Neurospora crassa OR74A: one gene and its partner. The protein of the gene in region 2 binds, or shares a complex with, the protein of the main gene of each other region. Links are inferred from orthologs where the notes say so. Each region holds a gene or a part of one and is shown on either strand. Other genes may lie near its edges.

What was found. Proteins that work in one complex are often made in the same cells at the same time.
Region 1: the proteins of NCU06719 (region 2) and NCU17251 are in contact, whole or in part, in a crystal structure (PDB 4XHR), measured with the Saccharomyces cerevisiae proteins. The link is inferred for Neurospora crassa OR74A from reciprocal best matches to the Saccharomyces cerevisiae genes UPS1 and MDM35. Residues at the interface, in NP_013294.1 of Saccharomyces cerevisiae: Phe15, Ala16, Ser19, Arg20, Phe23, Asn24, Tyr26, Pro27, Leu35, Ser36, Ile37, Asp38, Thr39, Ile40, Ser41, Arg42, Val44, Gly48, Asn49, Leu50, Arg51, Thr53, Leu55, Trp77, Ile79, Val81, Ser82, Val83, Val84, Pro86; in NP_012870.1 of Saccharomyces cerevisiae: Ser6, Ala7, Ser8, Phe9, Lys17, Tyr20, Phe24, Asn25, Trp27, Tyr28, Ser29, Phe32, Leu33, Val38, Trp46, Tyr49, Thr50, Val53, Leu57, Gln60, Ile62, Ala65, Leu66, Glu68, Ala69, Arg70, Glu72, Pro74, Phe75.

What each region holds. Positions count from the first base shown.
Region 1 is NC_026507.1:3,164,592-3,167,603, forward strand, and holds NCU17251 (hypothetical protein), read left to right. Parts: upstream 1-1,349; 5' UTR 1,350-1,669; coding exon 1,670-1,710; intron 1,711-1,762; coding exon 1,763-1,800; intron 1,801-1,861; coding exon 1,862-1,938; intron 1,939-2,006; coding exon 2,007-2,100; intron 2,101-2,155; coding exon 2,156-2,157; 3' UTR 2,158-2,512; downstream 2,513-3,012. Other genes in the region: NCU02256 (exosome complex exonuclease Rrp6), read right to left, coding at 17-350, 410-987. UniProt on the Saccharomyces cerevisiae protein: Involved in mitochondrial distribution and morphology. Mediates the import of UPS1, UPS2 and UPS3, 3 atypical mitochondrial intermembrane space (IMS) proteins lacking the two major IMS-targeting signals, into the intermembrane space.
Region 2 is NC_026505.1:4,379,018-4,383,041, forward strand, and holds NCU06719 (MSF1 domain-containing protein), read left to right. Parts: upstream 1-1,224; 5' UTR 1,225-1,310; intron 1,311-1,382; 5' UTR 1,383-2,180; coding exon 2,181-2,888; 3' UTR 2,889-3,609; downstream 3,610-4,024. Other genes in the region: NCU06720 (carboxypeptidase cpdS), read right to left, coding at 3,742-4,024. UniProt on the Saccharomyces cerevisiae protein: Required for maintenance of normal mitochondrial morphology. Required for PCP1-dependent processing of MGM1.

The DNA of each region.
Region 1 (3,012 bases), on a different chromosome or scaffold from region 2:
CCAGGATGTGTCTCACCTTGACAATGTTGGGGTTCGCAAAAACCTCATTCAGAACCTCAAGCTTGTGCCTCCAAGGTTGAAGAGTATCAATGACCCAATCCTTCTCTCTGGTACTGATCTGCATGAGAGACAACAGTCCGGTGTAAGACCTAAAATCGTGGTGCTCCAGATCAAGCGCAATTTCCTTGGCCTGCTTGAGCTCCTCCAACATCTCCAAGACGCCCTCATAAGTATCAACCCAGATGGCGGATGTCGAATCGATAGGAAGGTACTCCTTGGGTTCGCGCTTCTTGTACACATGCTCAGGGTACGGTGTCGTCTTGATCTCGGTTTCGTAGGGGTGTTTGTATCTGGGAGATTCATGTTAGCGACATGCTCTTATGATATTGGAAAGAAAGGTTAGACGTACTGTGTGTTGTTGTCATCATCGACAAAGGTGGTCAGGCTGTCTTCCAGTGACACCTTGGCATGAGGCTTGGACGACAACAGAGGCTTCCAAGGACCGGTAGCGAAGTTATCGACCTTCTTCTCGAAGTTATTCTGTGGTTTGAGAATGTTGGCTCTCTTCAAGGACCAGTCAAGACGATCGTTAGACGACTTGACGCGTTTTTGGGCGCGGCCCTGGTCGGCGGGGGTAGGCGCATCCTTCCGCTTGATCAATCCGGTGTACTCGTCGAGGCAGGTGTCGGCTTTCTCGAGCAACGAGTCGATCACGTCGACAATGTTCCGCCATTGGATGTCCACGTCGTCGGCATCTTCAAGAGCGCCAACCTTCTGGCCGGTAAGATTCGCGGTCGACTTGAGGAGCCCGTTGGCCAGGGACAGAAGGCGGCCGGAGCTGTTGTCGAGTTGACCACCGACAGTCGGGTTGACGGTGCGCTGGAACTGAAGATCCTCGCTGGCGATTGAGTTGGCGGTTCGGGTCGTAGCGACCAGGGCGGCTTGGAGCGATTCCCTCAAGCTCTTGAAGTCCAGTGAGCCGTCCATATTGGCCGGTGGTTCTGGAGTCGTTGTGGTGTGGACGTCACTGGAAGTGGAAGCCCGGTTCAATTTTCCAAAAATGGTTTGTCGTTCTGCTGCTCTTTGGGAACTTTTTTTGCGGACAGTCCCAGCATGTGGCTTGTGGAGAAAGCGCCAAAGTGAACGGGACCTCGAAAAGTGGAAGCTGCCCGATGGATGCCATCAAGTGGGCCTCGAGTGAGCTGTTCCCGCTCTGCGCTGGTAGAGGTACCTGATGGCCCATGCTGGGAAGTAGAAGCACTAAAGTAGAGAGACTTTGGGCAGCCGATTACATAAGGCCAAGGGGGCGCTTGCCAAGAGCCAAGATTGTGCTGATCTGGACCACCAACGTTCGTTCATCCATCGGCGTCCAGGCTTTTGAGATCCGTCCTGTGACGAAGTGGAAGTCCGCAACCCCATTGTTGAATAGCACCTGGTACTTGTTGGTTTCCAAGCGGACTCACCGGTGAACGTTGATATTTGAGATTCCGTACAACCGTCTTTTCCACCAAAAATATTCACCTGGAGTATCTCACGAACACCCTTCTATACGATCTTTTGCCCAAAACATAGATATACCGTCGATACCCATAAGTCATCGGACACCGTACCAAGCCTATCGTTTTGTTGGCAACACCTACGGTTGAAAACATAGCTCTGGACTTTAAAGATGTCCCAGTCACTCGCCAAGGAATGCAACGAGGCCAAGGAGTAAGTTTTTGTCCTTCATACGGAAAGAAAACAACATCTTAACCAGTTGTAGACGTTACGACACTTGCTTTCTCAAATGGTACAGTGAGAGTAAGTCTACAGGAACAGACACCCCAACTCAGTGGACATGTGTGATACTTATACTGGACAGAATACCTTAGGGGCAATGGTACCGAACAAAATAACGAATGTTCAATTCTCTTCAAGGAGTATAGCTCTTGCCTGCAGGTAGGACGCAAAACCATACAGCGCCCGTACTCTAGCATCGAGATAGCTTACCATATGGCATTTTACAGGTTGCTTTGAAAGAGCGTGGCATCGACAAGCTGCTTGAAGAGGCGCGGGAAGAACTCAAGGACAGCGACTCAACATACATGGGCAAGAAAAAATGTGAGTTTGAGCTTACGAACATGGCCAAAGTTGAAAGGATGACTGACTTGCTCAGAATACCAGAGCTGGACGACGTCTGAGTACCTTACTGTACCACTCGTCGACCAACTCCTTGAACAAAGCCGCAACAATCCAGTTATTCTCCTTACATTGCTCAATTATCTCTTCTCCGTATATATCATATATCGCCTGGTATTCGTGGAAGGACTTTCCATTATGCACACCCTCCATGTCTTGAACAAAGCCCATGTACCAAAAGTGTCACCCGCTGGTCTTTGACTGTACCTTTCTGATTATATCTTCTGTTGAGTTGTTTTCAGTGCTCTCTGTTATGGACGGAAGCCATGGATGACTTCAAGTCGGTTGAATGTTCCCCTTCCAAATAAGGTTTCCCGTCCTTGAGAAGTGGATCCTCCCCAACATCCAATCGGTTCATTACAGAGTGCCGTGCAGTCGCAGCCAGGTCGGGTTGCGCTCGGGGACTCTGGCTTCTGGGCGCTAGAACTTAGAACGCTCCACACTCCCTGTAATACTGCCTAAACTGCTTCGATAAACTTCAGCGCGAGTCTGAGCCGAGTCTGTCCACCACGACACGACACATAACGCATCTGATCGCCCTGCTCCCCCGTCCCCGTCCCAAATCAACAAGTTTTCGGCTTCCCGTTGTGCTTCCCGTCAGTACCAGCTTTGCCCGACTTCGACCTACCTAATCCAACCTCTTCGAACCGTCGAGTATTGTTTTCCCCCTCCCATTACAGCGCCCGCCAATTCCTCATATAACCGCACCCACTATCCGCCCGCATTTCCTCTCCCCACACAAGGGAAAGTGACATCGGACTACAGCATCTACCGGCCCAGACTTTTGCCGCGATCGCATGCTCGAACAGTAAGGGGCAGCGCGCCTCTATGCAC
Region 2 (4,024 bases):
TCCCGTCCCAGATATCAAATCAATTGCGCCACAGCCAGAGACTCAGATCACCTTCCAGGCCAGCCCAGCGAGCCAACAGCCAGAAAATATCGAGTTTCGAAACTTGTCAGTATGCGAAGCAAAAGCAAAATGAGGGCGGACTGGTGATATTCGAATGATGGCAGAATGATGGGACGCCGTCACGCGTTAGATGGATTGATAATGTGTCGGTTTTCGCTGTGGTATCGTGAAGCGTCGTCGCAGGTCACGTTCGGCTCAGATCGGCGGTTGTCGTTCGGTGCGCTGATGGAATGGTAAAGGATCGCAGCAAGCCTGTCGCAAATGGTGAGCGACGCGGCGACGCTGGGAAAAGAGCAGAATCGATGAATAGAAAGCCGGCTGATGCAGTTGTGATGGCCAACTGATTGATTCGCCGTGGTGTCGCGGACTGAAAGTTTTGCTGGAGGAAGAAATGAACGGGAGGGTTCGGGGCAGCTGAAATGGAAGTGGCCCACGGAATGTCATACGCTGGCGCCTATTGAATGGACGGATACAATGACTAAGCAGCCTGTGCATTGCAGGCAAGTGTGGTGCAGTGAAGGAAGCTCACTCATCGGACGTTTGAAGGAAGCGAGACGGGACACGGGTGCCTCCCCACTTTTCAAGTTGCGCCCGTGCCCTACACTGATGTATTCTACATACACTATGTAAATGACTAAGCCAATCACCCCGGCACTGGCGGCCAGCCGAAGACTGCTTGGCAGTGACTGGCAGTGGAAAACACCATCCACCAGCAGAAGCCCAAGGAAGCAAAGGTACCAACATAAATTTGATGATACCCATACTAAATCGGTGAAAGCATGTCGGTATGACCACACACGCAGGCTTTGAAATTACCTCTGGTTTTCCAGTTTGTTCTTTGTTCATTTCCCCTTCAATATCACGATTGCGGACGTTCAGGCCGGGTTATCGCAGGGTGCGCATTGCATTGCTGCAGGAGCTGCTTGCGCTAGGTGGGGAGGATTGCATGATGATGATGATGACAATGTTTCTTGCGTTGACAAGTGAGCAGTGGGAGCTTGGTTCCGTGTTACACACCCGCGAGGATAATGGCCAGACGCTCGACGATATCGTTGGATCATTCGAAGCAAATGAGCCCACGATCGTCAGAGTTGCGCAGTCCCCTCATTTTATCTGTGGCTCTTTTCTCTTTCTTTGTTTATACGTCCAGCTTTGGCCACCCGACTCTGATATTGTTGTAGCACTGCTGCACGACAGAACACTTTTCACGATTCTCCACTCTGCATCTAGGTACAAACACCCGACTAGAGGTAGGTGTACAGAACCCAGCGGGCACCTTGCTTCCATTTCCATTTCCACTTCCCCTGTTCTTACACTTACAGAGCCGCTACAGTAAAGTCCTTTCCCGCAAAGTGGAAAATGGAGCGGTGCCCGTTACCTCTAGCATAGCGTACCGGTATTTATCGGGTCCAGTCGTACCTACATACCTACCTGCCCTGTAGGTACACTACGTAGAACTACATACACTACCTAGCCGCGGGAGTGTGGCTCCTCCATCGGCCCATCCCGTCGGTTCGTCGTCGGGTCACTTTCATCATCGCTTTTCCGTCGCTCTCGGCTCTGGCTTGGTACTAAAGTAGAGGTACCTTTTTTCCCAAGTTTACAAATCCTGCCGGCCCCGCGTCAACCATCTTTGCTCTTCCTTCCCCAACTTTCCTACCTTACCTACCACAGCCTACAAGCACCTCTGTACTAAAACTTCAGACTACCATCATCGCACCACGGCAATTGGGAAAAGAGGATTTGACAGCTTTCTGTGGCCGTGCTCCGTTCCAATGTCAAAACCTCTTTACCAGCGATCGTGAGCTGCGCTTCTCACAGATAAATTACATACACGATTCGTCCCGACAACGTCCACGATTACAACATCGCCACCTCCAGTGACTTCATTCCAGACTCCCCACGTTTAGGCAAGCCACCGCTATTTACCAATTCTATCTGGAGTCGGCCATCCGCCCGAGCCTACCTAGCTTCGAACCGTGCTTTCTATACACATCCAGCCCTAGGAACCAGTCATCCGAAACTCGAGTGCTTCATAGTCCCATTGCTGGACAAGTCGATACGTACCGAAATCTTCCATACGGCACTAGCAACGATCCTCACCCTCTTCCTCGGTCAAAATGGTTCTCACGCACACTACCAACCATACTTATAGCCATCCTTTCCCGACCGTCACGCTCGCCTTCTTCCTCCGGTACTGCTCCCCGCAGCTCAATCCCTTTTCTCAGCATGTCATGAGCACCGACACCCTTTCATCACATGTCGACCCGGCCACCGGCCGTCTGCACACGACTCGCATCCACCTCAAAAAGTCGCGTATGCCGCCTGCTATCATGAAGATGCTCCCCACTAGCATTACGGGTGGTGCCACGACCGAGAAGGCGTCCTATATCATGGAGACCAGCGTTGTGGATATGAAGGAGGGCTGGATGTCGACCGAGAGCCGGAACCTGAACTTTGCCGGCGTTCTGTCGGTGGTGGAGAAGCAGATCTATACGATCCCAACGAGCACTAATGAGATTGGAAATACGACCGACGTTGCCACGACGGTGGTCTTTCGATCTCGCTTTGGGGAGCGCATTCGCGACAAGTTGGGACACTTGCACGCGCATGAAGTTGAACAAGAGAAGGGCGGCTTCTTTTCCCGGCTTGGCGCCCATGGTATTCAACGAAGCATCGAGAGCCTGGCGTCGAAGAAGACCCAAGACCAACTTGGCAAGAGCCGAGAGGGAATGAAGCTGATTCTCGAGCGACTTCGCCAGTCGGGCATCATGGGCGTCCTGGAGCTCAGAAAGATGGCACGGGAACGCAACATGGAGAAGGCTTGAACGAATTACCGAGCTAGGGCTATAATGACCATCTAGGCCTTCGGTCGTGCTCTGGGGCCTTTCCCCAAGCTTATGATTTGTTTACTTGCCCTTGCCACCGTCTTTGTCCACCATTGGGCATCATCAAGACGTATCCGACCCTGTCCTCTGCTCAATCTGGGCAAAAAAGTCTCGGTGGAAGTACGCGGACGAAAGACGCATCTTTTCCACGGCACCGCAAGACGAGTTAGGCCACAATCTCTGTGAGCTGTCTTTCTTGGTGTCGTGCTGTACACTACAACATTGTCGTTGATTTTAGCATGGCGTTGGTGTAAGGTTCTGTGTTGTCACTGGGTCGCATACGATGAGGGAAGTCATCCTCACGACACGCTCACACGCGAGCATATACCCGCGTACCCATTCTTGAAGTTTGTGAAGGAGGGGGCCGGCAACTACGGCGTCAGCCAACTGAATGAGGGGACTGCGTGTACCCTATGTGTTATTTTATTCCACTCTCTTTGTGTTGGTATTGGTTATGAAAAAGAAACGGTTTTAGCAATGAATGTCTCACTGATGTGTATTGTGTATGTATATCGTATAGGTCTTAACGGAAGGCTCAGAACTGATCGTGCGAAAGGAAATCGAATAGGAGACATGATGAAGACGTTGAAGACGTTACAACACGAGCGTGATGCATTACTGTTCAGCATTTCTTGTCAATCTTGTTTTCTGGCAAAGTTCCGTTTCTACAACGTGCTGACCGGTTTCCAGCGCAACATGTAGAAAATTTTTGATCGTTTTGAGCCCCTCCTCATTTACCGACTGGTATCGAAACACTTCATCCATCATAACCTTCATCACCATTACGCCCCCTTCACCTGACAAACCTGCCCCTTCCACCTCCATGCTGTTTCCCCGTCTTACCCGGGGACTGACTCCAGCTCTGAGGCGCCGTCCCCTCGCCCAAAGGCTGCTGGCTCTGCGGCGCATCCGGGTCTGTCGTGAATGGGACCGTGCAGTTCAAGCAGTTAACTCTGCCCAGCAAGAACTCTAGCTGCCTGTACGCCGCCGACGGCGCATACTGCGGCACCATGTGGCCCGACATGTCGATCTGGACCCAGGTCAAGCCTCGCTCGCTGCCCATGGATCCAAACACG